Linked DNA regions of Bombyx mori. The protein of the gene in region 2 binds, or shares a complex with, the protein of the main gene of each other region. Links are inferred from orthologs where the notes say so. Each region holds a gene or a part of one and is shown on either strand. Other genes may lie near its edges.

Region 1 (6,239 bases), on a different chromosome or scaffold from region 2:
GCGCTTCTTGGCCCTACGGCACGCACCTACACTGCCTCATCGCGCAGCATTCAAGCTCAGTCTCGACTCACCGCAGACTTCGAGCAGCACTGGCGACAATCACGCAGCATTCAAGCTCAGTTTCGACTCACCGCAAACTTCGAGCAGCACTGGCACTTGCAAGCTAATCTCAGCACGGACAACGATATCTAAAAATGACACGACCTCCAGTCTCGGAGGGGAGTGATGTGGCGGGTAGCCATCATACAACGCAAGATAATTGACAGATGCCTGAATCTCGCTTACGACATTTTCAAGATAAAGCGCATATGTACAAGTTCCGAATAACAACATTCGGACCGTCGGTCTACCGAGCAATATCATCCGCTCGGTGGAAGATCTTCCCTTTGTCGTTTAAGCATCCCCAAAATTGTTTAAGTAGCAGAGTTTATATAACATTTTGGGCGCACAATCCTTATAGGACTCAGGACTCACTATCAGCAAATAAAAGTTAGTCTATCATCTTATTCTTATATATTATAGGTACACAGAAAATGATACTAAAATAAGACTTGTAAAAGAATGTCCAATGGTGAGTTTAATGTATTAATTAGTCTTTTGTTCTAACAAACCTAAGGGAACCAAAGATATTAAAGAAGGGTAAAAGTCTTCAACAACTGAAATACACTACACATCACATAACATACATGAAATAAAATAAATCCACATTGCTCTACAAACATCAACTACATACATTAATTATATAAAATCTACTTAATACGTACAAATAAGAAGAAAAAAAAACAATTGAAGCTTATTATTGAGCCTTACTTATTCATGGAAACCTGTAGGTTAGGTTACTTATGTTTTTATAGCTTGAAAAAACCAAGCTGTTTACATCAAAACCAAGCCAGCAAATTAAAAATCTCTTCCTTATTTTTAGTTTATTTACAGTAGATTGGGGAGAATAGAGACTAGAGTTAGAATAGGGACAAATCTGGGATGTCACAATACTCTTGTTGGGTTGTTAGATATAACTTTGTTGCACTGAAGATGACTATTATTTAGTGTTTAAGAATATTATATAGTTTAATTCAGATATCAAAACTTTGTATCTCATTAAAGATATAAAAAATTAATTACCTAAAGTTAGGTACCTACCTAAGAACTAAATAGTGCCAGCCTTATCGAAAAACTCTGTTGTCCCCATACATAGCGTATTTTTTTTATTGCCCTTGTAGGCAGACGAGCATACGGCCCACCTGATGCTGAGTGGTTATCGTCGCCCATGGACTTCAGCAATGCCAGGGGCAGAGCCAAGCCGCTGCCTACCGTTGTATACTCTCCACAAGCCTCGTTTGAAGAAGGACAAGTCAATGAGAGAAATAGCCTCATTCAAAGAGAATCGGGTCAAGCAAGTTTTTTAAGGTTTTGTGTATATTTTGTGACTATATGAACTATATAAAATAATGAATCGTATTTAAAAATTTAAACCTTCGGAGCCATTTTAATCTCAATTTTATTGGTATTACCCTAAGAATAAAAGCATTGAAAATTTGTTTTGGAATTGGAAAGGGTCCCCATTTTCCCCAATCTACGGTACTTAAAGATCATATATAATCATCATACTCAAGCAAAACCAGAAAGCGGTATTGTTTGGGAAATTTGACAAATTATTTAATTGGGTGTCAAAAACTTACAGAAAGCTCCACAAGATAGCTCTGTGAGATAGGTTCAGGTGGCATTGAATTTTGAGAAATCTTAAACACTTTTGCTACAGTAATTTTCATACGACCTTTTCTAAACATGTAACCTGAAATTTAGAATTAGAAAAAGCTTAATGTTTTTTATAAAATTACCGTAATTGATTGATTTTAAATGAACCACTGAAAATTATATGCAATTTAATTAAATCCCAAATCTAGGTAATACTTTAAATTGAATTAGTATTTTTGACTATTGGTCTTCTTTGATTCGTCATTATTAACAATAGTGGTATAGTAATAGTGATGATTTAGAATATACTATCAAATACATGTACAATCATATTACTCATAATTGTCATTATAATAAATATTATTACCTTTTACACTGTATTCAAATTCAATTCGGCATCCTAGCTCATTTAAAAATTCAATGAGCATTCCACTGCAGGCTATATCAAGACTGGAACGGACAACTGTTGGCCTATTTTTGTCCCCCAAATCAGGCTGCCCAATGTATCGTAACTGAAATGGCATGTCTCGAGCATCTAATGCTTTACGAACACGCAACATGAGAGGGGGAGCCTGAAATTTAAATTTATTAAAGATGAACTATTAGAACATGAAAGAAAAATATATAGATTCAGGCATGTCTTTATGCTCACGAATTGTACAGTATTAATAGTGATTACCAAATCATTAGCACTTTTCTTGACCAAACAGGTGACAGCCCAGGCAAAATTTAATCAATTTATAATTTAATACAAGTTTTATTGTATTATAATTTTATAACCATTTTATATTCTAGTGTCCTAAAATAATAATAACATTAACAGAAATATTTTAAAAAGTTCTAAGTATTATTATTACCTGATGATGATTAGGATCCCGTAGACTGAAACACACTTCCTGGTCATCAAATGTTTCTGGCCCAGCATCAACATTGTCACAAAGACCACGTAATCGGTGAAGTAAAACTTCTACTGCCGAGTCCAACACTGAGCCCTTAATCAAATTTTAGTGGAATCAAAAATTAAATGTATAATATTCAACAATTAACAAACTTGACTGAATCTTGAGAAAAGTTGCTGCCTGTTGCCTAATTATCATAATTTCCAGCTATGAAATACTGTAAAATTGAAAATCATTAAATGAATTATTTTTATTTATTAAGAACAGCATTGTAGGCATTGTAACTAAGACCTTATCTCATGTTTTTTTGGGCTGCTATTATATGTAAGCTATGTATGTATGGGTTCTGATAATATTTTGAATGTAGTATGTAAACAGATCAAATGGGTCAAAAGAATTGGATACAATAGCTGCAACTATGGTAATTAGTTCTGTTAAGTATGCAATTTATGGAAACTGTAGAAGAATGTAGACTATATTGTAATTATTCTGAAATTTAAAATAGCTGAGCCACTTCAACATCCTGTAGTACCTGAAGTAAGTATTCCTGATTTGGTATAATGTTCGCTTTTAAAGCTTGCGATAAGCTATCTGTAGCTGTTATAGGTGCAGCGTTTGCCGACATTTTATGGAGCTGAAAATCTGAAAACCTACTTCAATAGCAGCTATTTAAAGATTTAAGTTTTGAAGAACTATGTGTGAGCCAAGAAATCATTACACTTATAAACGACTTTTCTGTCTCATAGAGGTGCATTCAGTCTAAATAGTCCATATAACCGAAACTATAAATATTGCGTAAAATAAAAAACTAGGCAATTTTAAAGGAGAAAATAAATTCTAATTTCTAATTAACATAATCTAAATACTCATATTGGAATTTAACAAGGTAGAGATATGTTTGCAATCGCTGTTAGCTTGACAGTTACTAACAATGTTGACATTTAGCCTCATTTAGGTGACATTTTGTAATTTCCTTTTTCAAATACAGGAGAGAGAGGCAATGGTATCGCATCATATTATCATATTGGTACGGCCGTATTTGTTTTTAAACATTTTTTGTCACCAATGATTCTACATGCGAGGAGTGAAATTGTGTGATTTGTTTTATTTTGTCTATTTAGTGTGTCTTCAGGTTTAAACCTGTAATAACGGTTGTTTATTAACTGTTCAATATCTATGAAAGTGCACCAATGTGGGAAAATGAAACCAAGCCGCTGGACGTAACTTCTCGGGATCGTCCAAAAAGGCCAAAATCTCAGTAAATAACCGTCATTTTAGTGAGATTGTATTTCATCCCTTATCATCTGTTCAGTTCTCGTTCAATCACATGAATGAACAATGAGTGTGAAGAGTTAATCATTAATTTCAAACTATAAAAGAATATTATTTATATTTTACAATAAAATTGTATTAAAGTGCTCCAATATATGTTACTAGTAGTATGTAACTACAATTACTTTTTTTTATTTTCATTACATACCTATAATTGTTATATTTTATACATCTATAATTTCAACTATATGATGTATTGGAAATAGGACAGTCTTACAAGCTTCCTCGCAATGTTTTTCTTAATGTTTAAAACACTCGGTATTCAGTGCAGGTAGATACTATAGGAACATAATATTTCGTCGAAAACTCATTGGTTGTACAAAGCACGCCTAAAATTCGAACCCCGTACCCGATATCGGCAATTCGGCACACTAACTATTCACTAGACAATCGAGGCAATTTCATTAATTCAGGAGTTTTTTCAATCGTTCACTTTGTCACAACACTATTTTTATTTCATCAAAACCTGACAACACAGTAAACGTCAGTTGACTTCGTCTAATAAAAAATCCGACTATAGGTCTATGAGTTCGTTGTACACAATTCACAATTAGCAAAGAGGGAGCTTAAAAAAACATTAGAAATGGTCAGTCATGTATCTATAAAACTCGCATCTGAAAGAGTAAATCATTCGGTTGCCTCAAATAATGACCCGCCGCGTTTTTACACTCCTGGCGAAGTCATAACTGGGATACAAGATTTTATGAGGTCGGTATTTTTTGCGAAAACAATATTGTTAAGAATTATTATTACTATAAATTTAATAATTTTGCACTTTAAGAGGCCACGGAACTTACGCAGAAGATGATTGCCTAAAAGCATCTGTTGCTGGGGTTATGCAAAAAGTAAATAAACTTATATGCATTCGCCCATTGAAGAGTCGTTACGTTGGAGAAATAGGCGATGTGGTAGTCGGAAGAGTATTGGAAGTTCAACAGAAAAGATGGAAAGTTGATACCAATTCACGACTTGATTCAATACTTCAACTTTCTTCAGTAAATCTACCTGGCGGAGAATTGGTAAATTAACGCACACTTCCATAATATAAAGCAATCTTCTTGTATCTAATGATAACTATTTATATATTTTTTTAAATCCAGAGAAGGCGTTCAGAAGAGGATGAGCAGATGATGAGAAAACATTTACAGGAAGGTGATTTGATAAGCGCTGAAGTACAGAATGTATTTTCTGATGGTTCGCTCTCATTGCATACAAGAAGTTTGAAATATGGCAAGGTAATCAGATTTTATGAAGCCAATAAAAAATGACTATTCTAAAGTTCAACAAGAATGTTATAAGGAAATTAAAAATATTCAAATATGTAGCAACATTAAATTTTGAAATCCTCCAAAGTGAAGATGATATTTATCCTTCTGAGTAGATTAAACATGCTTCATTAGCAAATTGATTACAAGTCTACACAAACACTTAAATCTGCTTTAATTCACTACCTATATGTTTAAATAAATAAAATCAAGGGGCGTAAGGCTATTTGTTTTAAGTGACACTTCGCTTACTACATGGCATCTATCTGTGTAATTAAAGGTAAATTTTATTTGGTATTAGTTTATACAATTAATTGTTTTTAATTGAACACCAATTAAGTATTCTCCATTGAAATAGCTGGAGAAGTTTTGTCATGTTTTTTTTTCAATTTTTAAATTACATGACTTTCCTCTAAACCAAATAGCCCTTCATACCTTAAAATAGAATCATTCATACAGTCCTCTAATAATAATTAATATCACAAAATGTTGAACTTTCTACTCCTTGCTAATACTAAAAAAAAATTAATTTAAGAGTTTGTTCGAAAACTTTATTTTTTGCAGCTTTCACAGGGAACTTTAATAAAAGTATTCCCGTCATTGATAAAGCGCAGAAAAAATCATTTTCACAACTTACCATGTGCAGTATCTGTCATAATAGGGAATAATGGATATATATGGATTAGTCCACACAAAAGTGATATTCTTATGGAAGGAAATAAGGATGCAATTGAAAATTATGAAATTCAGGTGGGTTAATGCTATCAGTGTGCAGTGTTCGGGAATAGGAGTTAAGAAAGATAAACGATAAACACAAGTTAAAGATTTATTATATCATTTTCACTAAACTTTGTGTTTTTCCATGTTTTAAGAAAATAGAACTCATGCATGTTCTCATGCCCTCATGAAATTGTTGCATATGCTAATATGATGCTGATATCATTTTTATTGCAGCCTGTTGGGAAATCAGAAAGAGAAACGATGGCGCGAGTGAAAAATTGTATTTTGGCACTTGTGGCATCTAAGATGATGTTAGATGATACTAGCA
Region 2 (6,266 bases):
AATTTTGTGAGCCCTTACCAGTAGATACCTACTATAATCAAGATGGGATAGCATTTATAGTACAGTTGGAAATTTAACTTGTTACAAGGTGGGTGGGATTAAAATTGTGCATTTATAGGGTCTAATATTCCTGACTTCAGGTTGCTCATCTATCCATTCAGATCATTAAGAATTCAAAAACATTATAATATCATACTTGAGTAGGCAGTGGGTCTTCAGCAAAGTATGGATCCTGCATAGCCTGTTCTGAAGTGATTCTTTTGTTAGGATCCATCAGTAAAAGTCTTTGTAATAAACTAAAAGCTTTACTATCTGGCTTAATCTTATGCCTGTCCATATATTTGCTGAGTGAGCAGTTCTGGTAGCTGTAATGAATATGAACATATTAAATTTAATTTCATTTTAGACCAATGCATCCTCAAAATATTTGTTTTTCAATTTACTTTGATCTCTTGAAATCCTTAACTAGTGTTGCATGTTCTGGCATTTTCCTTATATCTTCCCAATCTTTTTCAAGTGGAAATCCCATAACATTAAATATTCTATCTAGTTGATCATGATGATATGGATTGCTTGTTTTAATGTCTTCTTGGCGACAATGGAAAATAGGTTCAGATGTTAATAGTTCTGCGAATATACATCCTATGGCCCAAATATCTGCAAATAAATGAGATTTTCTTAAATTACTTTTTTTTTTACATCTCTTTTGACTTGGTTTTAAACCGTGGCTCTACACATTTCGTCCAGGAAAAGTATCAGTATGAATACTTTCACTTTAAAAAAAATCATGTCAATCCATTGGTTTGTATTGACGTGAAAGAACAACATTTTAACATTACAATACACATATAATATTTTGCACCAATGAGTCTATACTTCATGAGCTCAAAATAATTGAGTGCCGCCTTGGCCTACTGCAGTCCCATATCCTGATATTTTTGAACAAGTGTCATGGGGTGGGAATCTTTCTATATTCTTCTTCGATTACATTATATTTTATGTTTACAATGAACTACTGATATGGTATGTAGTTCACAGAATGCACAATTACCGACCGGGTTTACTGAAATTTCAGATGAATTTTAGCTATGTTAAGTAACAATCCAAAAATGAAAATAGTATAATAGTTTTTATTTTCTAAGCTTTTTGGGATTTATTTAAATAATGATGAATTTAATAAAGTGCTACCAAGTTGTTAATTCCATGCTGAAGAGAAGGTGTTTTACCTGCCAAGTGTAGACGTCAATTAAGTAAAAATTACTTAAGTAAGTAAAAGGTAAGTACTTAATTTTATGTGGCTGTAGGTGAATTATTGTAAGAGTAATAAAATATATACCTATGGCCTTAGTGTAATGTCTGGCACCAAGCAACAGTTCAGGAGCTCTGTACCAAAATGTGACTACTACTGGATCTAAGTCAGCAAGTGGTTTCAAAGGTGCATTGAATAATCTTGCAAATCCCATGTCAGCTATTTTAACTCGGCCACGCTCCGGTCCTTCACCCATTACTAATATGTTGGCTGGTTTCTGGAGTATTAATTGTAAATAACATATATTGATATTGAACAAAAATAATATTTATCGATTCATTAAGTTTGATTTATGGTACACCAAAATAATCTATATATATAAAAATAATTGCTGTTCATTAGTCTCGCTAAAACTCGAGAACGGCTTAATTTTGGTCTTGAATTATTTGTGGAAGTCCAGAGGTTTAAAAGGTAGATAAATATGAAAATGTTCGGAATTAAATAAAAATAACAATTTTGTTTTTCCTTTGATATGTCCCCCGTCGGACGGATTCCTTCTGTTTGTTTTAAGTTTATTTTATGCAAAAGTTTGGGTCTTTTATTTATCGATTGAGGCACTACAAAGTCTGCCGGGTCAGCTAGTAATAAATAAATAAAAAAACAACAAATGCACATCATTCAACACAAAAAGAGATTAGTAAGACTGCCGTCCTAGTCTTTCTAATCTCTTCCAGGCCAACAGTAGAATTTCTATCAATTATAGTAATTTATTTAATATAATATTTATTATACTTTTATATATTATGTTATCTAATTTAGTATAAATTACAATTTCAATACAACATGAACTCATAGTATGTGAACGATTCATCATTATAAATATTACTATATACATCACACTCACCAGATCTCGATGCAAAACCCAGTTTGAATGTAAATAATGTATCCCATCCAATATCTGATAGAGGAGGCTCTTCACCATTCCTTTTGGCACCATAACTGATTTTTTATTAGCTTTAGCTGCTCTATGAAATTTGATTATATGCCACAAATCATGTTCTGCATAGTCAAATAGCAGCCAGACTTTTCGGTCAGTATGTGAAAGAAACACTCTAATAAGATTTATGACATTAGGATGTTTCAACTCTCTTAATAGCTAGAAAATAAATTGTTACACGAACTTTTTTATTATGATCTAAACCACACTACTATATTGTAGACCGAATATGAAGTAGAAAAACAGCTGATAATGCAATGTTTGTTTACAGTACACAATAATTATACAACACAACACAATCAAAATAGGTGTAATATCCCATGAACATATTATTTGAAATAATAATAGAAACAAGAATCAAAATATGCAAATTTTTTACATGGTGATGGTGAGTGGTTACCGTCATCCATGGACTTCAGCCAGGGGCTTAGCCAAGCCCCTGCCTACTGTTAAGTACTCTCCACAGCCCTCGTTTGAAGAAGGGCATGTCATAGCGCTTCGGAAACACCATGAAGGGGAGCTCATTTCAAAGCCGTATGGTACATGGCAAAAATATGTATGGAAACACACTGTGGATGAACTGAGTGGCTCAAGGTAGTGTGGACAAACTCTATTTCGGTGGTCGGCGGTGCGATGGTAAAAACGAGATGATGGAATCATTTCAAACAGTTCCTCATAGCACTCCCCATAGAACATATTATTATGGTAATAAATTCACATTTATACAGATATAAATTATTTAAAATTTAAAATTTTTATTTAAAATTAAAAACAAATTACTTAAATGAAATAATTATGTTGTATTTATACTTACAGCAATTTCCCTACATGCTGACATAGAAAGTCCAGTTCCTTCAATTTGTTTCAAAGCATAATCTTTGGTATCGGAGCCATCCTTCCTTCTGGCTTTATATACATGGCCATATGTACCTCTACCTACTTTACAGCCCTCATAGTCGAACAAGTCTTCCACTTTGGAACGTTCATTTTGAGTCTTGATTTTGAAATCGTAGTCCATCATCACAGCCGCCATGGTCTTATTTTGAAAGTTGTCTCCCATTGTTACGGTCGGGAAATGCAGTTTGGATCCCTGACTAATTAGGATTTATATTTTATTACACTTTAAATCATTTTGAATACCTTCCCTCACAAGTTATATACAAGACGTTATTCACTGAGCAAGTAATCACTACGTTATAACATTATTCTCCGTGAATTAGTGAAAAAGCCGTTATATCTAGTTCATGAGTGCAAATTATATCTATACTAGCCTAAATCTTTAAATTAAAACACTAAAACTAGCTTAAATAATTAAATTAAGTTTCATTCTCAAATAAATTAAGTGTATAATCTATGGTTTCATCTGCTTTTTTTTAAGTGATTTTATGACCTGGTAACTAAGACCTTTAAGTCATGTCTTATTTTAATTTATATTCTTATTTTTATGAAAAATGATAATATGGAGGGAAATGAAATGAAAATGATTAATCAACTGGGATGAAATTAAATGAAATGAGATGATATAGGATGAATATAATCTTAGTAAAATGGTGGTCATTTACTAAGATTTTTTCAGTGAACTTTTTGGAGGATCCCGAGAAGTTGCGTCCAGCGGCTTTGTTTCATTTTCCCACATTTGTGCACTTTCACAGATATTAAACAGTTAATAAACCACCGTTATTACACATTTAAACTTGAAGAAACACTAAATAGACAAAATAAAACAAATCACACAACTTCACTCCTCGCGTTCCCGCCAAAAAGTTTAAGTTTCATCTGTGATCATTAAAGTAGCCATATGCATATTTTTAAGGGATTTTACGACCTGGTAACTAAGACTTATAAGTCAAGTCTTATTTTAATTTAATGAAAACTTTTGTTTAATATGAAAAATTATAGAAATGAAATGAGATGAAAACGAAATGAAATACAATGAAAACGAAGTGAAATGAAACGAGATGAAATGATATGGGATTATATTTCAAATCTCAGTAAACTGGTGGTCATTCACTAAGACTTTTGAAGTGGACTTTTTGGAGGATCCCGAGAAGTTACGTTCAGCGGCTTTGTTTCATTTTCCCACATTTGTGCGCTTTCACAGATATTAAACAATTAATAAGCCACTGTTAATACACATTTAAACCTGAAGAAACACTAAATAGACAAAAAAAACAAATCACACAACTTCACTCCTCGCGTTCCCGCCAAATTATTTATGGTAATTTATGTCCGGGTAACTAAGACCTTTAAGTCATGTCTTATTTTAATTTATATTCTTATTTTTATGAAAAATGATAATATGGAGTGAAATGAAATGAAATGAAGACGATTGATTTGTAACATTAATCAACCGGGATGAAATGAAATGAGATGATATAGCATGAAATAATATAATCTCAGAAAAATGGTGGTCATTTACTGAGATTTTTTCAGTGGATCCCATATCATCTCATCTTATTTCATTTAATTTCGTGCCAATTGATTAATGTTACAAATTAATCATCTTCATTTCATTTCACTTCATATTATCATTTTTCATAAAAAAATTATAACCGATTAAGGTGTATGGTATGATACTTTTGCCTTCATAGTTGGAAAAATATAACTACTACTACTACTACAATACTGTTAATTGACAGTTGCCAGTGTCAATATGTCTAAATTTATCTGTGGTGTGGTGTCAAAATAAATTCACTTCGCAATAGTCGGACAATGGTCAGCAGGTTTATGGATTTCATCTTTATGCTTAAACAAATTTGTTTACTAGTCTTTGTTATTAAATAAACGTGTTCATATTTATCAAGGTAAATAATTTCATTTTATATTATTTAATGTCCAGTCCAGTGTGAGTTGTTACACTTTAGAAGTCACAATGGAGGACCAAGGGAACAGTGATGAAAATATAGTAAACGCAATTGATGTTTTAACGAATATGTTTGGAAACATTGTGAGTAATGATGTGATTGTAACTATTGCTGAAAGCTGCTGCGGCAATCGTAAGTAACTGATATTTTATGTTATTAAATGTACCTTGTACATACCAGGTACTTAGGTCCTTTAGTAATTGCACAAACGCTACCCCATCCCCAGGTAATCGCGGTATTGATTTTCCACCCTCTGATTGCAAACATAAATAAAGCTATCGATAGATGCATGGTCCCTGGCTGTTGTCAATAACAACGCATTCTGGGAACCCAGTTTAAGGGATTGGTTTCCATAGCAACACTCATTAACGTAGTGATTGATTGCGTAGCAAATTTTTTGTTGTGTTGAATTACTGCTTTTTATTTTGTTTTTTAGTGGTGGACCTTTACAATTAGTTGGTTAACTTGTATTGTTTTTATTTATTTGTCCAAAATAGAGTAGAAAAATAAGCATTTGCAATTTTATTAAATAAAATAGTTTTTAACATAAACTTAGGTATTATAATTTTTGTAAAATAATGTTTATGAATATATGTTAATTTTGTTTTCATTCCATTTCTGTATATAATGACACTAAAACTCAGACAAAATGTTAAGAATCTATTCTATTTCTTTCTAAAGCATAACAGTATTACTTAATTTGGGAATTAAATTGATGTAATTTGTGAAGGGACAGTAATTAGTACTGAAATCTATTACCCTCTTCTAACATAATGGTAATAGATGTTATTGGAGGAAAAATAATAATAATCTGAATAGTAAAATAAATAAAACACAAAAACGAAATGGGAGTTATTTAAAAGAGAAGTGACTAGTGCCTGGGATAGAGGTGTTTTCCCACTCCACAACATCACCCAAAAGGATGATGGGAGATCTAATTATAACAACAGAATATATCTCCTTCCACCCCAACAACCCCTCCTACCACCCTGCCATTTTCGTACTGTTAAATTGTTCAAACACAATTGAAATTACATTTAAACTGCTGTTGCTGGGATAAAAAGAAATTAAATTGTTTGGAGACAGTTGAATTAGCTATTTAATCAAAATAATTATGATTGAGAAAACATGTAAACAGATTGATTGATCTTGAATC
Region 3 (6,313 bases), on a different chromosome or scaffold from region 2:
TAAAAAATAATAATATATTTCGAATTAATATAATTAAAAAACCGATCTGAAAAATACATAAATTTATTTCGTCTTTTCTTAACCTCAAAACTTAAACTACATAATTCAGTCTAGCTAGGCACACATTTAACTGCATATCTATCTGTATAGTAATCGGCAAACTTCTTGAGCAAATGACCTTGACTGCGCAGAACCGAATTTTAGATCACTTTGGTGGTGAGGGTGAGGCGCGACGGCAGGGGAAATCGTATCGAGCGCGTTATTGGTAGATCAGTCGAACCTTGCGTCCCGCACCGCGCCCTCATTCCGCTTGCTCCCAAAAGTACGCTTGCGTACAGTGGAAAGTCTATCGTTATTAATCGTTAAGTTATTTGTTATAATTGCTTGTGGACTTTGTTGCCATTGCTATTTGTTGAGTGTTTGTTGATTTTTTATAAAACATACACTATGCCGTGACAAACTGGTGTAGTACTTAAGTACAAATTTTCTACCCTTTCTTATAAAAGAAAGGGTAGAAAATTTGTGTACGACGTATATTGCTTCATTATAAAACAGGGGAAGAATGATATGGAAAAATTAAAACAGACTTCGGAAGCAACAAAAACATCAGTGAGTACTGTTAGGTGCATTATTAACGAAGCTAAAGGCTCTGGCTTGCTCGCCGTGTTGCGGACTCCGGGTAAGAAAAGATCAGGGAAGAAGAAAGTTACCGGAATGGATAGTTTCGTTCAATGTGTAATAAAAAGATGTAATCATAATAACTACATAACAAGCAGCGAAACTCCGTACCGTCGAAAGGCTTCGAAACATTTAAAGAAGATTTAAATTTTAATGGCTCGGAATGAAGCTTACGACGAATTATGAAAGAGCTAGGCTTCAGATGGAAAAAAAGAACAGAAAATAATCGGAAGCTGGTAAATGAAAAAAGTAACATTCGATTACTACGAATCGAATATCTTCAAAAAATAATTAATTATAGACAAAAAAGAAGACCGAATCGACCGAGTTGTAAACTACGCCGATGAGCCCTATGTCGACTCATCACGATGATAGCGACTCGGGTGATGAAAACAGTGATGATGATGATGGTCAAGATTATGATAACGGAAAAAAAATTACAAATACCAGCTTCGCTTCAACTGAACCAAGACCTGGCAACAGCTCTAGTTTTGACTTAATAGAAGGAATATCTATTTTACCCCAAGATTAAATTATTACAATTATTAACCTATATGTTTTGTTAATGTTCTAATAAATATATAAATAAATACATATGTTCATTTTAATAATTTAATAGCATTATGACGCAGAGTAAGTAATGTTTTTGCACGTGAGTGTACCATGCGCAAACTTACCCCCACTACGTCAACAAATGCTCAAGAAGTTTGCCGGTTATTATACAAAGGATTTGTTTATGTTCAATCAAATAAAATTCGTTTTGAAAAACGTTCAGTGCCCATTTCAAGTAATTAAATATATTTTTTATGAGTAAGACTACGTATATTTTACTACTACACAGAACAAATATTTTAATATCAGCCAAATTATTTTTATAACATAACAAAGAGGTTTCATTAACACCCATTTAGATAATTTAGAGGGAGATCTTTGTCCCCCGGTGGGACATCCTACTAGAGGACATGCCCAATATTTTTTTAACATTATTATACACTACTATCTGTACCCGTCCGCTTCACTGGGCATTTAAAATTAACATTATTATTTCTCACCCCCACAAAGATTCACATCATTAACGCCCCCGCAACTGGTGTAGGGAGTCCAACACTCATATAATTAGCCTATCCATTATGTACATGTATTTTCTACATGGATAACAAGTTCAAGTCAATCGGATGCATGGTTCAGTAGTTATAACGGAACATCCATAAAAACCACTGTAGATTTATTTATTAAGTATAGATTTATAAAAAGTTTATTTTATTTTCCACTCACTTCTAAAACAACAATCATGAACATCCTAAGTTTGTTGTCTTGGTGGACCTTGTTGTGGCGGTGCGGGCGGCGCAGGAAGCGCCGGTGCGTCCGGCGGTTGTAACGTGCGTGTACGCCGACGAGTATAATGTTGCCATAGCAATATTGCTTGATCGTCCATGAATTTGCAAACCTTAAGGAAAATATTAATCATTCATTAATGAAGATATTTTGAACAGTACCTATCCATCAGAGTGATCTAAACACAGGCTTTATTTAAAAATTGTAATACATACAAATTATACTGCTATCGGATAAAATTAAAAGCGGTATTTGGTCAAGGGCCAGTTTGGCACAGTCATAAATTTTATATTTGGTAGAGTACAAGAATAAAGCACAGCTACTAATGAGGTGGTAAATAAAAGCCAATAAATTATAATAATATGACTTTTGCAGTAACTTGTACGTGGTCATTAACAATTACCAAATTTATATTCTTACATTCAAACTAGCTCAATTTCATTTGCATATTTTTTTTACTGTTGATTTGTAAGTCAAGCTCTGTTTTGGTTTTAAGCCCATAAACATCATACTGTGAAACCTATAAATCATAAAACTATATCAGAAAAAAAAAAGGCCAAGTAGTGTTAAGTTGTTACCTGAGCCCATAGACATGTACAAAGTAAATGCCTAAACAAAAAAAAATACAATGGCTGCCCCACCCATCAAACCGAAACACATTACTACTTCACTGTAGAAATAGGCAGGGTAGAGGTACCTACCCCTGCGGACTCACAAGACATCCTACAACCAGTAACTACACAAATTATAATTTCGCAAGTTTGATTCTTTTACTAGATGGTGTTATTCCTTAACTGTGGAAGTCAATAGTGAACATTTGTTTAGTATGTATCTCATTATAATAATTGGAACCTGCCTGCAGGATCTGAACACCTTTGTATCGCTTGATATGAATGCGTCAGGTCAGCCTGAGCGATAAGCCTTCAGGCCACAACAAACCTTCATATAAACACTACTTCAAAAACTGGACCAAGGTGGTCACGACCCTCAGCAATGAGGAAACGACAGAGAAGAAGAAGAAGAATGTTTATCAGCGGACTTAAAACCTATGGCATTATCTACCGCTCAAGCAAAGATTATATGGAAAATAATTTAGTAGGTGCAATTTGTACTCACTTGTGCCGATACACATTCTCTTCTAAATGCTTCATGTTGTAATAACTCCAAAAAATGCAAACACATGGGATACTTCAAATATCTAGCATATTCTGGCTCTCTCCAATATTGCAAATATTTAAGATAGTTTACAAAAGTTTGTTCTTTAAGATAACCTCGCTGTGCCAAAACTGTAAATAGACAGAGTTGACATAATTGACATCCATTACACATAACATTTAAAAACACTGGGCAGAAAAACATTTAATCACAAAATAGACGATTAGAAACTAAGTCACAATAACAAAATCATTAAACCGGTATGAAAAATACCTAACAATTTATTACTTATTTCCCTCTTGTGATGATTTGATGACCAACTTGATAGCTTCAGATCAGTCATCACATTAAGTTATCATTATAAGTTTCCATAAGTGTATGTATGCAGTGAGCAGCATTAGCCTGCATAAGTTCAAGTGGCAACATTTACATTATGATGTCTATGTACTCTAGTAATCATTGTATACCAGGTGAGTGTGAAGTCTAACAACAAAAACCAAAAAGGCAACTTACAGTGAATGTAATTTGGATTTGCTAAGCACTGCACAAATTCAAGTTCCACTTGAAATCTTATTCGATTCTGCTCTTCAGTTTCTGGCATTACTGCAATTAAATTAAAGATTATTAATTTATCATGAAATAACAAACTGTTAAATAAAATTATTTCATTCTTTCTTACCTTTTCCAGCCATCATTTTGAACCCGAAATATATGCAGCTGGAGTATTTAAATTATTCAAAATTAAACAAGTTGGTCAGTGGTGTACGTCTCAACAAATCTATGACCAAAATAATAACATATTTTCAGGTTACACAAGACAGTTCATTTTATCCTTATATAAATATGTGATATTTAAGATTTTATCATTACTAAAATGTTACACAGTACTTAGTAAGCTCTTAAAATTTTTAAATTAATTAAATCACATAAATAAATTTGTGTATATATTTTTTTCCGAGTCCTACACAACGTAACACAACTACACAATACTACATAGATTATACACTTAATATACATAGATTATACACTTAATATATACGAGCAATACTACACTACACATTAAGTTAGTCTATGACTATGATCATCATCCTACTTAGGCTTAATATTTGGCCTAAAGGTACTATACCTAAACTTTTTGGCGGGAACGCGATGAGTGAAGTTGTGTGATTTGTTTTATTTTGTCTATTTAATGTTTCTTCAAGTTTAAATGGGTTCCTCCAAAAAGTCCACTGAACAAACCACAGTAAATGATCACCATTTTACTGAGATTATATTTCATCCCATATTATCTCATTCCATTTAATTTCATCCCAGTTGATTAATTTCTCAAATTAATCATCTTCATTTCATTTCACTCCATATTATAATTTTTCATAAAAATAAGAATATAAATTAAAATAAAATATAACTTAAAGGTCTTAGTTAACAGGTCATAACATCCCTTAAAAAAAATCTGGTTTAAATGTTTAATAGAGCTGGTTTATTAACTGTTTAATATCTGTAAAAGTGCACAAATGTGGGAAAATAAAATATAGCCGCTGAACATAACTTCTCGGGATCCTCCAACAAGTCCACAGAAAAAGTCTCAATAAATAACCACCATTTTACTGAAATTATATTTCATTCCATATCATCTCATCTCATTTCATTTCATGCCATGTTTCGTATTAATCAGCTTCATTTATACTTAATATCATTATTATAATATTATTATATATATCAAATAGATATAATTATTCTTAAAAAATCCTGTTTATAGAGTATAAGTATATATACTAAGTTTATTCTTCTATATTAAATGAATTTCTACTAAATGTCCCTGCAATATATTTCTTGAACTTATAAATAATTATCATTTCAACAAAAACAGATTTTGTGTGCATTATATTTACATTTTTTGAACTAAGTATGAATTTAGGAATTATTAATTTTATTATAAAATACAAGTATCTTAACTATCTCCTATTGCATGGTAATGAATAGTATCATTAAAAATAACTGAACTGAAAACCACGCTAATTGTACTTTAACGACTAATTGACCGTCTTCACTCTTCACCGACATTTTTTTGTTGAATTATTGTTGAAGTTTTCAATATTTTTTTGATCCACTTATGAAATAATTAGACAGTATAAACCATAGATTATACACTTAATATATGTATAAACCATGGAGTTAATAAGTAGTAACTCTATGGTATAAACGCAGTTCTTCTTCTTCTTCTTTATTTTTGGCTCTGGCACGTTTTGTGCATTAGCCAGCGTCAAGTAATAACGTTTTTATAATTCGCCGTTTTATTTATTTACAGTTTATAAATAATAAAAAACGAAGGAAACTTATCGCAACAAAACATAAATGATTTAGAACGAATTGAATTTACAAAAAAAATCAGAATAATTATATAACAGGGAAAATAAATCAAAATTATAGTTTAATGTTATTATTTAATATAAACCTACTTAAAATACTATATACAAGGGGATTAAAATCTCGAAGAAGTAAAGAAATATTAGTAGGAAGGGGAACAGAGAGAGATACTAAAGAAGTATATAAGGAAGAATGATCATATAAAGAACAAGAAAAGAAAATATGATTCAGGTCACAATAACTCTCGCCACACTCACAGGCGGTACTAGTTACGATACCAAGTTTGTGCAAATGAACTGGAAGGCTGTTATGTCCCAGACGCATACGAATTATAGTAGAAGTGGCGGTTTTACCAAACGACAATTTGGCAAACCATGGCTTCCTGGGAACGGAAGACTGTATAGCATACAAGAAACGACCCTTAATCCGGCCGCTCTCTTCCCAACACATATTCCACGATTTGTGGAGGCATATGCCGGGCAAAGCAGCAAGATCATGGCCAAAATTCTTGTACGGGTATACGTCACCGGTCACAGTAGCACTGTTGGCCAAACTGTCAGCTTTCACATTTCCAGATATGCCACAGTGACTAGGTACCCAACAAAATGATACTAAATAGTTGTGTGATTGGCAGTGCAACAGCTTTCTCTTACATTCAAATATTACATGAAAAAAAGGGTTAAGTTTTAGTGAAAATTTTGCTAAGCTCTGTAATGCACTTAAGGAATCAGTAAATATAACGGTTTTTTTTAGTTTGAAAGACAGCACATATTCAAGA
Region 4 (6,332 bases), on a different chromosome or scaffold from region 2:
GATCATTGCATTAGTTGGTAGTACTCGATAACCAGCCTTCGAGATTTACGTTACCTTATGTCAAAACAATTTTCATGCTCTCGATTATGAGTATACTTGAGTTTCGAGAATGTAACAATTCGATTGCGAAACTAAAGTAAATAAATTCATTCGTGTTGCTTTATTGCTGACTAGCGCTCCGCTCCGGCTCCGTTCGGGTCTTTAACAAAAATTTCAACGATATATGACGTTGTTTTATTTTTTTAAATAAAAGAACACTTATTGCGGCATAACTATAATAGTTAGACATATCCTGTCGCGACACTTATTATAAATAATAATGTGTTCTACAAGGTGTAGTACATTATTTAATTCTATCATCAATCGTTTTCGCAGGGCACGCGATGTAAAGAATATTTTAGGTAATTTTTTTACACCTTGGGTTACATTATTGGAGTTTTAGTTAGTATTCCTAGATTATAGCCTATGTCACTCCGGAATAGAGTAGCTTCCAAACAGTGAAAGAATTATTCAAATCGGTTCAGTAGTTTCGGAGCCTATTCAATACAAACAAACACACAAATCTTTCCTCTTTATAATATTAGTATAGACTAGCGACCCGCCCTCGCTTCGCTTCGGAAACATTAAAACACACATGAAACCAAAAAAATAAAATCAGGGACAATGTCGGCTTCTAATGGAAAAAGAATTTTTCAAATCGGTCCAGTAGTTTCGGAGCCTATTCGAAACAAACAAACAAATCTTTCCTCTTTATAATATTAGTATAGAAGTATTAAGTATAAAAGTATAGATTAATTCCTTTAACGGACGGTAGTAGGGGCACTGTTTAAATCCTATCTATTTTTTCTCGATAGAGATACGAATACTTTTTCGATAGTCATTCGTGCTTGCCCTTCAGAGTGTAAAGCTTTAATGAGGATTGAAAATTTTATTAATTATAGCTAAATCCAATACTTAGCATGATTGTTTGCACTTGATTCTAAATGAAAAGTTAAGCTTTGTGATGCTCTCTAACAAAACTAATTGTGAATTGTTAAAACTATTTCATTGTGTGATTTTTTAAAAGTTTTAGTAAATAGTCATTACTTGTTGCTATGTTTATAACTATATTTATGCATAAAATTTGATAATAAATTGAGAATAGATCTATAATTTTAAGGTATTTGATAATAATTTTGGTACTATAGTGTGAAGCTTTGAAGTTTTCAAACAATTTATCTAAATTGTTTTAAAACATTTTTAATAACAATCACGAGGTTTTGTGTGTGTGTGTTTTTTTTTCTGTGCACAATTTAAAACCTCTGTCTTTGTAAATGTGGCCGCAAACGGGGGTTGCTAGCTGATAAAGATGGAAACCTAGATCCAAAGTAGAGTGAGAGAGTTAATGCGTAACATCGTTTGTCAGACAAGGATGGCGGTAGACAAACTTACCCTATTTAAAAATTAAAAACTAATGCGCATGCGTCGAGTGCTAGTTTATTCAACCAACTGCGCTCACTTTCTTACTTTACAAACGATAATTTAGTTAGGTACTCAAAAAAAAGTGGGAATTTTTATTTGCTATATTATTATGCTAATGAATTATATTCATATTGCTGTTATTAGTAAAGTTTTGTACTTAATTTATAAAAAAATTAGATGCTATGTTGGGTATGTACATACAGTACTCAAAAATCTAATTTAGCAATTTTCATTGTTGACTTCTAAGCAATTTAAATTCGATAACGGCGGATTTCTATCATAAAAATGTGATACCGCAAATGCTTAGTTATTTTTAAAGAGTGCAGGTTAGGCTGAAAGCTATCTAGTCTTTTATTGTTAATTCGTACGAGAATAGCGCGAAAGCGGTGATGGAAGTTTTTTTTCCTACCTATTCGGTAGCCTACACACACTGCGACGCAACTTCTTGATGAATTTTAGTTGTTACAAAAATGACGCGAGGATTTGATATTTACTTATTGCGCGACAGGAGGTGTTTGTTGATTGTAAAAAAAATGGCTTACACGAAACGAAAAGAAAAACGGAAAACTTTTACAAATTAGTAAAGTTCTGCCAATTTTACTATAGCACAGCTGCCTTAGATTGAATTAGACTAATAGTTGTAGTAGTCATTAAACAATAACATGTTTGAACACACAACCTCGTTATATCCGTAATGTGAATCCAGCTTATTGTTAATGTTGTTTCATTGAATAACTAAAATTTAAAAATAATCGTTTAAGGTCTGAAATGAAAGAGGTTCATTAATGGTTTTTTATTATACTTAAATACTCAATAATTGTGATGTTTTTCTAGTCGGTAATATTATGGTTACCTATTGTGTACACTGCTTACATTAAATAAAGGAAATTTTGAAATTCATTTCATTGCCTATAATTAAAGTTTTTTAATTTTTTTTATATGTAGATGGGTGGAAGAGCTCATAGTCCACCTGGTGTTAAGTGATACCGGAGCCCATAGATATCTATAACGTAAATACCGTCACCCACCTTGAGATATGAGTTCTAAGGTATACTTACAACGGCTGCCCCACCCTTCAAACCGAAACGTCAAGTGGTCCTGTTATTAGCAACATTACTATTTAGCTTATAATGTATATAACGGAGAAATGGTTTTCTAAATTTTAATACTGATGAGAATGATTGCAGTTCTAAATGTATTTTTTTATTGCCCTTGTAGGCAGACGAGCATACGGCCCACCTGATGGTAAGTGGTTACCATCGCCCATGGACTTCAGCAATGCCAGGGACAGCCAAGTCGCTGCCTACCGTTAAGTACTTTCCGCAAGCCTCGTTTGAAGAAGAATACGTCATAGCGCTCGGAAAACACCGTGGAGCGGAGCTCATTCCAAAGCCGTATGGTACGTGGCAAAAAAGATCTCTGGCTTAAAATGGCGTTACTATTCCAAATTAGGTACTGTTTTGCTGCACGCCAAAGTTAAACGATCGTAATATAATTGTTTCCTTACAGAACTTCAAGTTATTTGGATTTTAGATTAATGTCTCAAATGAATCAACTTTATTTCATTTCGCTCCATATGATCATTTTTCATGAAAGAGAATAGAATGTACATACAAAAGACTAGGATGTATGGTGTGTGATATCTTCGCCTTTCCACCTGGAAATATTGGAAATATTACTTAAAAACGTCATAACGTTCAACTTCAAATAACTTCATTCAAAAGGTAGTTTTACAAATTGATACTGTAGGTAGCTTAAAACCACCTTCCATAGAAAATATCCATATAAGGATTAAATTTTAACAGTGGTTAGTAGGATAAATATCTGAATTGAATAATGGCTGATCGCTTAACTCAGCTTCAAGATACCATAAACCAAGTACGTATGACAAAAATGAACATTTCGTTTTAATTGACATTAATACATTTCACATACGTTGTATTTATTTATTTGTAGCAAGCTGAGAATTTTTGTAACAGCATCGGAATTCTACAGCAGTTCTCGTTGCCTAGCAAGTTCCCAGGCTTCGAACGCGGTGGTTCTCAGACTCCTCAACAACCGCAGAGTCAAGAGGATTATGCGGTTTTATTCGCGGCTCTAATTTCTCGTTGTGCTAAGGACATTGACACGCTCATCGAGTCTTTGCCCAGTGAAGAGAGTTCAACTGAGCTGCAAGTGCAAAGCCTTCGGCGACTTGAGGCCGAGAACAAGGAGGCTGCTGAGCAACTTGAAGAGGTAAGGGCTGTCAACTCTCCGTGCCCAATACACGTGCAATTTATCTCAAAGGACACTAGCTTTCTTTTTTATCATAAATTGGGAATTATCATGTAACTAAACCATTAAAATAATGATTTTAAAGAAGTAATTATGCCATGCAGTTTGCTTTTGTATTGCCATTTGAATGTAAAATCAAATATTCCAAGAAAGTATTTGTATTACAGACATTGTATTTTGTCTATAGTCAACTTTTGTAATGTAAACAAGCACCAATATTTAAACATAAATTAGTACCTACTTAAGATAAAATTGACAGTAATAGCGATTTGGTTAAAGTTGTTTCCTTAACTTCATTTTGAGATGGCACACTGGAATTGTATCAGCGAATATTACTTTATTCAATTTTCAAAACCCATAGGGTGTTTACAGATTAATCTCATGTTTTAGATTGCCATGACTACAAAAACTTATAGTATTTGAAATATTGGAAGTAATCATATCGACGCTTGAAAGGCAAACGTGACTAAGCGACAATGCGTGAACTTCACAGTAGACTAATTTCAAGATGAAATACCTGAAAAAATTCTATTTTAACGAAACTAGCTGTAGGATTGAAATGATTTTAATAGACCTAGAAATATATTTTTTTTGGCATTGAATATGGTTATTGCCTATCATGTATAAAGCAGTTATTGTCGCTTAGTCACGTTTGCCTTTCAAGCGTCGATATGAAAATAATTACACATGACTTACTCTCTTTTCATTAGCGTTAATAATAATGTCAGACAATATTTAATAATTCTACAGGTAGTCCGTCAAGGAGAGATTCTTCTAGAGAAGATTCAGGGTGCTCTGAGTGATATTGCTCAGTGCCAGTTGGACATGCAGAATCCGGCTCTGATCCTCAACAAGGATGTGAAACCACAGTTATAGGGATGGGGTCTGGGGTTCTACCAACGGTAGTTTCCTCTACAAAAGGATACGTTAAAACAAGAATACACGGAAGTATTTTAGTATTATATGAATTTTAAAATTTTGTGTTTGAAATCTTAATGCTTAATGACGAAGATTTTTTTTTGTTGTTTGCAAATTTGTTACAGGGCTTTCATGCCGGTGAAAACTAAATTGTCTGAATGTCATATTTTTGAAACTATAATAAGAAAAACATTGGTATGACATATATCATTTTAAGTAATCATTTGTTATAATTGAATAGTTAAGTATACATGACTTGTTTATTCATTATTTTCTATTATTACGTAAGGCATACTTTAAGTCTGAAAGGGTAGGTACCGCCACTCTGCCTATACATACTGTAAAGCCGTTGTTTTCCAGTTTTGAAGCACAGGTTAGTTGTTGATGATGATTTTGAGATGAGTGGCGGCAATGACTGGGATCTCTGGGCTATGTTAATCTCTTAATATTAGATGAACTCGTTCATCTATATACATAAAATAAAATGAACACAAGGAAAAAGTAAAGGTGATTGTATTCAATGATGAACATGAGTTTTAATTAAATTAAAAAATATTTATGTTTTATGTTTAATTAATTTAATTAAGTTATTATGTTTAATTAAAGGTTTAATTTTTCTTTTTGTTGTACGCCCTGTATATGCTGGAATGGACTCGAATCTAAATATTAATATACTTTAGAGATTGGAAATAGAAAACTATAATCTTGAAATGAAAAAAAATCTATATGATTGAAAATAAATGTTGATAGCTAAGAGTGTTTTATTAAATCAAATGTTTTATTTGTATAAATTTCAATACTGATTCAATGGTAAAGAATAGTTTAATTTAGTAGAAGTAGTGTTCCTTCAGGTTTATATATGTATTAATGGTAGCTTATTTACATTTTAGCATCTCTGAAAGTGCACATGTGTGGGAAATTAGAACAAAGTTCCTATATGTGGCTTAACGGCTTCCTCCAAAAAGCGTCAGTAAATTCCCATCCTGTTACTGGGACGTTATTTCATTTTATCTCATCTCGTTTTACTTCTTTCCAATTAATTTCATATTAATACATTAAAATTTCAAATAAATGATCTTCATTTCATTCTACTACTATCATTGTAGCTTTTAGATAACTAATGGAACAAGCAAGTTTATCGAGTAAGTTGTACATTCGATTTATAAAATTCTTATTGGCTGGATGACTTGACAAAGTATGGTAAAATAATTCTATAACTATACTGAGATCTTACAACTTATATCTCAAGGTGGGTCTATAGGCTCCTGTAACCATTCATCACCAGGTGGGCTGTGAGCCCGTCCACCCATCTAAGCAACAAAAAAAAAAATACAATAAATTCAAAAACATTATTGGCTGTAATAGTCACATCTAAATGTTTTGGAATATTATATTACTATTTATGGTTTGTTACCTACTAACTCAAATGCTAATTAAAAAAATACGCATCTGATATTCTATCAACCCTTTTTTTTTTTCGTCGTGAACATTGAAATTCCTTGCTTTTTACCATCACACCTCTCGCCACCGGAGCAGAGTTCATCCATATTGTCTGGAACCGCTACGTTCATCGACATTGCGTTTCCAAATATTTTTTCTGCCACGTACCATCCGCCTTTGGAATGAGCTCCCCTCCGCGGTGTTTCCCGAGCGCTTTGACATGTCCTTCTTCAGACGAG
Region 5 (6,113 bases), on a different chromosome or scaffold from region 2:
GTGTTCGCGTGCATTCTTTAAGGAAGGTAGCTAGCTTCGACCTTTGATTAGCTAAAAGATTATGACGATTAACAATGGAACCTTAATCTAATATTAATCTATCGTTTAGATATGTTATATCTAGGTATGCTAGTTATAGCTAAAAAAAGGAACATATTATACACTGTAGGATAATTTAGTTTTTTATTTTAAATTTAAATATTCGATAGAGAGGAACGTAGCCCATACAGCCCCCAAGTCTTCTGTTTTAAAGCCAAAAACAATTAACGGTATTATCTAAGGCCAAAGAATCGGCTCGTATTATTATTATTGTTTATTAATATTTATTTAAAATCTTATTAATTACATAATATTTTTTAAAAAAGATATTAATAATACAATTTTTTAAAAACACTATATAAAAATAGATTGCCGCTGATGGCGGTGTCTACGACACAAGCCACCAGTGGTTAGGACTCCAGAGTGAGAAGCCTCCTCACAATGCGTGCAGTATCGAGGATAACTGCTTTCTGTATTTGGCCCTTAACCCAGCTGGATAACGAAAGTTTTTTAAGATGTTGATCGAAACTTTTCGCTATCAAGCCGTGTACCGATACAACTATTGGAACAATGATGGTTGAATCAACATGCCATATGGCGGTAGTCTCGTGGGCCAGGTCTAAATTTTTTATTAATTTGTCCTTTTCTGCCTTCACGAGGTTCTCGTCATGAGGAATGGTGACATCAACCAACACTGCTCGACGTGCAGATCGATCTATTATCACAATATCAGGTTTATTGGCAACAATATACCTATCCGTGATAATAGATCGGTCCCAGTAGAGCGTAACATGACCATTATCAAGAACTGGTTGAGGTTGGTATTGGTAATAAGGTACAGCAGAATCAAGAAAACCATATTTCAGAGCAAGTTGTTGATGGATAATCCTAGCCACTTGGTTATGTCTATGCAAGTACTCGCCGTTAGCAAACCGAGAACATCCAGAAACAATATGTCTAATAGACTCTCCCGGACGGTGGCATGCCCGACAAATGTCGACCGTCCCATCCTTTAATATAATATATTTCCGGTAGTTGTTCGTCATGATAACTTCGTCCATAATTGCAAAGATAAAACCTTCAGTTTCCCCAAAGAGGTTACTGAATCGTAACCAGGCCACGGAAGCTAATTGGTCTACATCAGGCCCTGTGAGAGCCCGGTAGAACCTACCGTGTAACTCCTTGCTCCTCCATACGGTTATGCGATCTAAAATACTCTTATTATTATTATTATTATTTGGTATCTAAACATACCTATCTCACACCATGTTTATTTAATGAAAAATTAAATGGAACTAATTATGAAAAGAAATTTAACTTGGATTAAAACTGAAGAATTTTTTTATAAATTATATAAAATATACAGATCAAATAAAATAATTCATAAAACTTACATCCCGAATTCCTGCCAAAGGTCTGCTAAATTAGATATTTTATTTCATTTTTCATTTTTTATTTGGGTTATACAATTACGTATGAAATGTAAATAAAACTACTTTTATTGTCTTTAGCGAATAATTGAATTTTTTCAAGTCTTAATAGTTGGCGCTACTGCAAAACATGCTGTCTGTGGCGGGTAGCCATCATACAACGCAAGATGATTGACGGATGCCTGAATCTCGCTTACGACATTTTCAAGATAAGGCAGAGCTCGAAACTTAGGCATCCGCCACAGAAAGCATGCTTTGCAGTAGGGCCAACTATTACTGTAGATATACGATAAAGGGAAGATCTTCCACCGAGCGGGTGATAATTGCTCTGTAGACCGACGGTCCGAATGTTGTTGTTCGGAACTTGTATATAAGCAAGCTGATCTTGAAAATGTCGTAAGCGAGATTCAGGCATCCGTCAATCATCTTGCGTTGTATGATGGCTACCCGCCACACTGTCAAACTGCAGTTTCGTGTATCCACTTAATCGCAATCGCGATGTGCCTTTTAATTTTTTTTATTTTTTATTGCTGAGATGTGTGGACGAGCTCACAGCCCACCTGGTGTTAAGTGGTTACTGGAGCCCATAGACATCTATAACGTAAATGCGCCACACACCTAAAATATTGTCCTCTGTATGAGAGCCTACTGCTATAATCCAATTGATCCAGCTCAATCCAGACACCAGAATCTTGCAAAGTTATAATACACTTAACAGATCTTAGTTACTCATTGATTTTCTTGTGTGATACATTTTATGAAACCATTTTAAATGATTTTATAGACACACCCCACCCCTAAGTTTGTTGCCAATCTTTCCTGTAACATCCTTAATAGTTAATTGTCTCCACGACTTGCGAAAGCTAAAGGAACAAAGCCCATAAAACATCTTTTTTATTTTATTTATAAAAGCCAAATTGTTTACATGAAATTTCTTTTTGGTTATAAAACATCAAAAATCTTTCGACAAAAATCAGTTCGGGATTTTTTTTTTCTAAAGGTTCATTGAACACTCAGTACATTCTCAGAATTTTAGCGAAAAATTACTTCACTTCATTTTGTCCACACTTACGGTGTTGTCATAAACTCACCTCTAAATTGAAGTTCATTTAACTTTCACAACACCTTCGACCTTGGTGGCAAAAATTGGAATATATGAGCTATGTTCCCTTTGCTTATCCATAAGGCCAATCAAACAAAAAAAGCATACTAAAGCATAGATTAAACACTTATTTTTTAGAAAGCATAGACAAAGCTCATAATAATTCATACATTTCATACTGTAGTGTGTAAAGTTGTTTTAAAATAAATTTCTTCAATTTAACACAATATTTAAGAGTATGTAAATCTTTTTTTGTAAATATAGGCATATTCCGTTTTTATTAAGTGTTTGCTAGAATCGTACGTACGGATTCCCGGTTCACAATGTCAGAGACAGCTCAAGTTAGCTCTTTACCTCTGCCTCCAATGCAATATATAAATTTTTACACGGATGAAAATGTTAGAAGAAATAGAGCTCCTCTACCACCTCGACCTATTCATGATTCTTATTCAATGTTTGGTAATTCTTTTAACGCTGATGATGCTATTATACGTTCGTTAGAAAGCCAGGTAAGTCCTAAAACAACTAGTTTACAAACACAAATGTTTATGTAAATAATTCGTTGTAAAAAATTCCTTCAGGGATTTCGAAGATTGTATCCTATGCATTTTGAACGAAGAAGAGAATTGAAGAAACTTAACCATTCACTGCTGGCAAATTTTCTGGATTTGTTGGATTTGCTTGTTCATTGTCCAGATTCTCCAAAGAGAGCAGAAAAAGTAGAAGACCTAAGTTTGTTATTTATTCATATACATCATCTTCTAAATGAATTTAGGCCACACCAAGCAAGAGAAACATTGAGAGTAATGATGGAATTGCAGAAAAGACAGAGGGTTGAAACTGCAGCAAGGTACTATTAATAGCGTTAATTTGTCATATGTTGGTGTTTCTACTATATCTATACTGGACACCAAGGAACCATTCTAGAAAATAAAGATAGATCTCAGATCACAAATGACAAAATAAAAAAGATGCCAACATAAATATTTAAGTTATGTTTTTGCCACACACATGATATAACCATTAAGTGTGTGACTTATCCTTTATTATTTTAGGCTTTAACATTATAATATGATCTTTAATTGGGTGGTAATGTGAAAGTCTGATTTAAATTTCACTGGTTGGATTTTCACTGGTTGGAAACATTAGGTGCCACTAGTGATTAGACATTTTTATCTGTTACCACAGTACCTTCATGATTGAGATTCCCAGACATTTTGCCCATCAATGTTATGTTAATTTATTTATAATTAGTAGAACCTGAATAAATTTATTGTGTTTAATCTTACCATAGGCTGTTAAACACAAAGTCATATTAAGTTCTCCCAATGTTTGATATTGAAGCAGAATAATGAAAATCAGATTTGTAATGAGTTTAATTTTTTTTTATTTTTATTGCTTAGGTGGGTGGATGAGCTCACAGCCCACCTGGTGTTAAGTGGTTACTGGAGCCCATAGACATCTACAAAGCAAATGCGCCACACACCCTGAGTTATAGTTCTAAGGTGTCTCAGTATAGTCACAACGGCTTCCCCACCCTTCAGACCGAAACGCATTACTGCTTCACGGCAGAAATAGGCGGGGTGGTGGTACCCACCCGTGCGGACTCACAAGAGGTCCTACCACCACCAGTAAAAAACCTTAAACTTGTCTCAATAAAAAAATTTTAGTATTCATAATGTCATATCATCTTTTTCAAACCAAAATCTGCCCTCTGCACTTTTTAGAGATTTCCAAATTTGAACTGTTTTGAGTAATATACAAAAATATTTTAATATAAAAAAAAAGAAATTAGCAGATATTGTTTACTGATACTACGAGGGCGGCACTGAAAATTTCGGGAATTAACGAAGTGACGAAGTTACTATTTAAAAATGTATTTATTGCTTATCGAAGTATTCTCCGCGAAATTTGACACATTTTTCCATACGATGGAACCAATCATTGAAGCAACCATTCCATTCGGAAGTTGGGGTCTCCAAAATGGCCGTTTTGTAGGCGTCTACAGCTTCTTCAGGTGATGAAAATCTCTGTCCACGCAATTTATTCTTTATTTTAGGGAAAGTATAGAAATCATTAGGGCTTAGGTCGGGGCTGTACGGCGGATGGTCTAATAATTCTATGTTTTCTTGCTCTAAAAACTCTTTTGTTCTGTGCGCGGTGTGAGAACTCGCATTGTCGTGATGGAGGATGATGCGGCGGTTGCAGTTCTCTTTACGGAGTTCAGAAACGACCTGTGGCAAACAAATGCTAGCATACCATTCTGCATTAACCGTTCTTTGTCCCTCAAGAGGAATAGTCGTAACATGGCCGGTTTTGGAGACAAACGTGGCCACCATTTTTTTTGCAACACTCCGTGAACGAACAATTTTTGTTGGCTTTAACTCATTTTCGAACACCCAAACTCGTGACTGGTTTTTTGTTTCGGGTTCGTACGCGTATATCCAGGATTCGTCACCTGATACAATGTTGTATACAGCATTTGAGGATCCTGCGTGGAATCTTTCGAGAGTTCTGACGCACCAAGTAACGCGAGCCGCTTTTTGCTCTTCACAGAGCGAATGCGGTATCCATCGGGAAAACAACTTTTTTACACCTAATTGTTCATGCAAGATTATTTGTATTTGACTCATGCCAATGTCTAAAGTTGCCTGAATTTCGCGGTATGTCACATGTCGATCTTCCTCAATCAGCTTACGCACAGCATCAACGTTTTCTTGGGTGACTGCAGTTTTTGGACGACCTTGAAGGGAATCATCACTGAGCTTGACACGTCCACGTTGAAACTCAGCAAACCAGCGATAAATTGTGGTTTTGGATGGGGCTTCATCACCAAATACAGAAATCATCCGGTCAACACACTGTTTTTGTGTTAAACCACTTCGAAAGTCATAATAAATCATCGCTCTTGAATTTTCTCGAGTCAATTCCATTTTCTCAACGACTAAACAAGTTTGACAAAACCTCGTGACAAGACCGAGAATCTTTTTTAAAATAAATAAATGGTATTCGATTTTTAAAACCAAGGAGTTTTCAATTAAAAAGATTTTAATATGACAGGAACAGTAGAAATATTCCATTCCCGATACTTTTAGTGCAGCCTAGTATATTATAACACAAGATTGAACTCGAAAATTATTTGTTGTTTATCGTCGTGTTTTTGTGGATGGACAGCTGTTACCTTACAAGTTAAATTTCCATTCGGACCATTGTTGCTTGACTTTGGTTTAATGTGTGAATTCTCTGAAGCAAAAAATAGACAAGATGCTGGTATCCATGGAACCTAATCCAGTTATAAGAGCTAATAAAGTCTGTTCTTTCAGATTCAAGAAACACTTAGACAAGGTACAGGATATTTTACAGAATGCTCTCCAAAGCTTACCAGATCAAAATGAATTGGAATCAAATTTCAAAGTGCCAAATGAATTGTTGGACCAAATGGAAAATAATACTTGCAATATTCAAAAGGCTGATCCCTGCTTTGAATTAGATAGAATTATGTGCAATGTAGTTGATAATATGAGATAGTATTTATGTGAATT

What was found.
Region 1: cdk8 (region 2) and mediator of RNA polymerase II transcription subunit 18 share a complex: the UniProt entries of both Caenorhabditis elegans proteins name them as parts of the mediator complex. The link is inferred for Bombyx mori from reciprocal best matches to the Caenorhabditis elegans genes cdk-8 and mdt-18.
Region 3: cdk8 (region 2) and mediator of RNA polymerase II transcription subunit 31 share a complex: the UniProt entries of both Caenorhabditis elegans proteins name them as parts of the mediator complex. The link is inferred for Bombyx mori from reciprocal best matches to the Caenorhabditis elegans genes cdk-8 and mdt-31.
Region 4: cdk8 (region 2) and mediator of RNA polymerase II transcription subunit 21 share a complex: the UniProt entries of both Caenorhabditis elegans proteins name them as parts of the mediator complex. The link is inferred for Bombyx mori from reciprocal best matches to the Caenorhabditis elegans genes cdk-8 and mdt-21.
Region 5: cdk8 (region 2) and mediator of RNA polymerase II transcription subunit 7 share a complex: the UniProt entries of both Caenorhabditis elegans proteins name them as parts of the mediator complex. The link is inferred for Bombyx mori from reciprocal best matches to the Caenorhabditis elegans genes cdk-8 and let-49.

Annotation. Positions count from the first base shown.
Region 1 is NC_085121.1:5,595,985-5,602,223, forward strand, and holds the start of mediator of RNA polymerase II transcription subunit 18, read right to left. Parts: upstream 3,539-6,239; 5' UTR 3,220-3,538; coding exon 3,127-3,219; intron 2,688-3,126; coding exon 2,553-2,687; intron 2,268-2,552; coding exon 2,063-2,267; intron 1,793-2,062; coding exon 1,680-1,792; intron 1-1,679. Other genes in the region: exosome complex component RRP4, read left to right, coding at 4,510-4,634, 4,708-4,945, 5,027-5,161, 5,756-5,941, 6,146-6,239. UniProt on the Caenorhabditis elegans protein: Component of the Mediator complex, a coactivator involved in the regulated transcription of nearly all RNA polymerase II-dependent genes.
Region 2 is NC_085129.1:10,511,604-10,517,869, reverse strand, and holds the start of cdk8 (cyclin dependent kinase 8), read right to left. Parts: upstream 3,545-6,266; 5' UTR 3,307-3,544; coding exon 3,061-3,306; intron 2,406-3,060; coding exon 2,154-2,405; intron 1,527-2,153; coding exon 1,337-1,526; intron 658-1,336; coding exon 444-657; intron 366-443; coding exon 197-365; intron 1-196. Other genes in the region: uncharacterized protein LOC101736423, read left to right, coding at 5,119-5,242. UniProt on the Caenorhabditis elegans protein: Component of the Mediator complex, a coactivator involved in regulated gene transcription of nearly all RNA polymerase II-dependent genes.
Region 3 is NC_085122.1:5,745,119-5,751,431, forward strand, and holds the start of mediator of RNA polymerase II transcription subunit 31, read right to left. Parts: upstream 4,175-6,313; 5' UTR 3,864-4,174; coding exon 3,848-3,863; intron 3,772-3,847; coding exon 3,682-3,771; intron 3,300-3,681; coding exon 3,130-3,299; intron 2,126-3,129; coding exon 1,979-2,125; 3' UTR 1,954-1,978; exon of another isoform or gene 48-1,953; intron 47-47; exon of another isoform or gene 14-46; intron 1-13. UniProt on the Caenorhabditis elegans protein: Component of the Mediator complex, a coactivator involved in the regulated transcription of nearly all RNA polymerase II-dependent genes.
Region 4 is NC_085122.1:11,556,598-11,562,929, reverse strand, and holds mediator of RNA polymerase II transcription subunit 21, read left to right. Parts: upstream 1-2,408; 5' UTR 2,409-3,297; coding exon 3,298-3,339; intron 3,340-3,417; coding exon 3,418-3,696; intron 3,697-4,485; coding exon 4,486-4,611; 3' UTR 4,612-5,407; downstream 5,408-6,332. UniProt on the Caenorhabditis elegans protein: Component of the Mediator complex, a coactivator involved in the regulated transcription of nearly all RNA polymerase II-dependent genes.
Region 5 is NC_085119.1:10,079,585-10,085,697, forward strand, and holds the start of mediator of RNA polymerase II transcription subunit 7, read left to right. Parts: upstream 1-2,694; 5' UTR 2,695-2,894; coding exon 2,895-3,080; intron 3,081-3,152; coding exon 3,153-3,421; intron 3,422-5,894; coding exon 5,895-6,099; 3' UTR 6,100-6,113. UniProt on the Caenorhabditis elegans protein: Component of the Mediator complex, a coactivator involved in the regulated transcription of nearly all RNA polymerase II-dependent genes.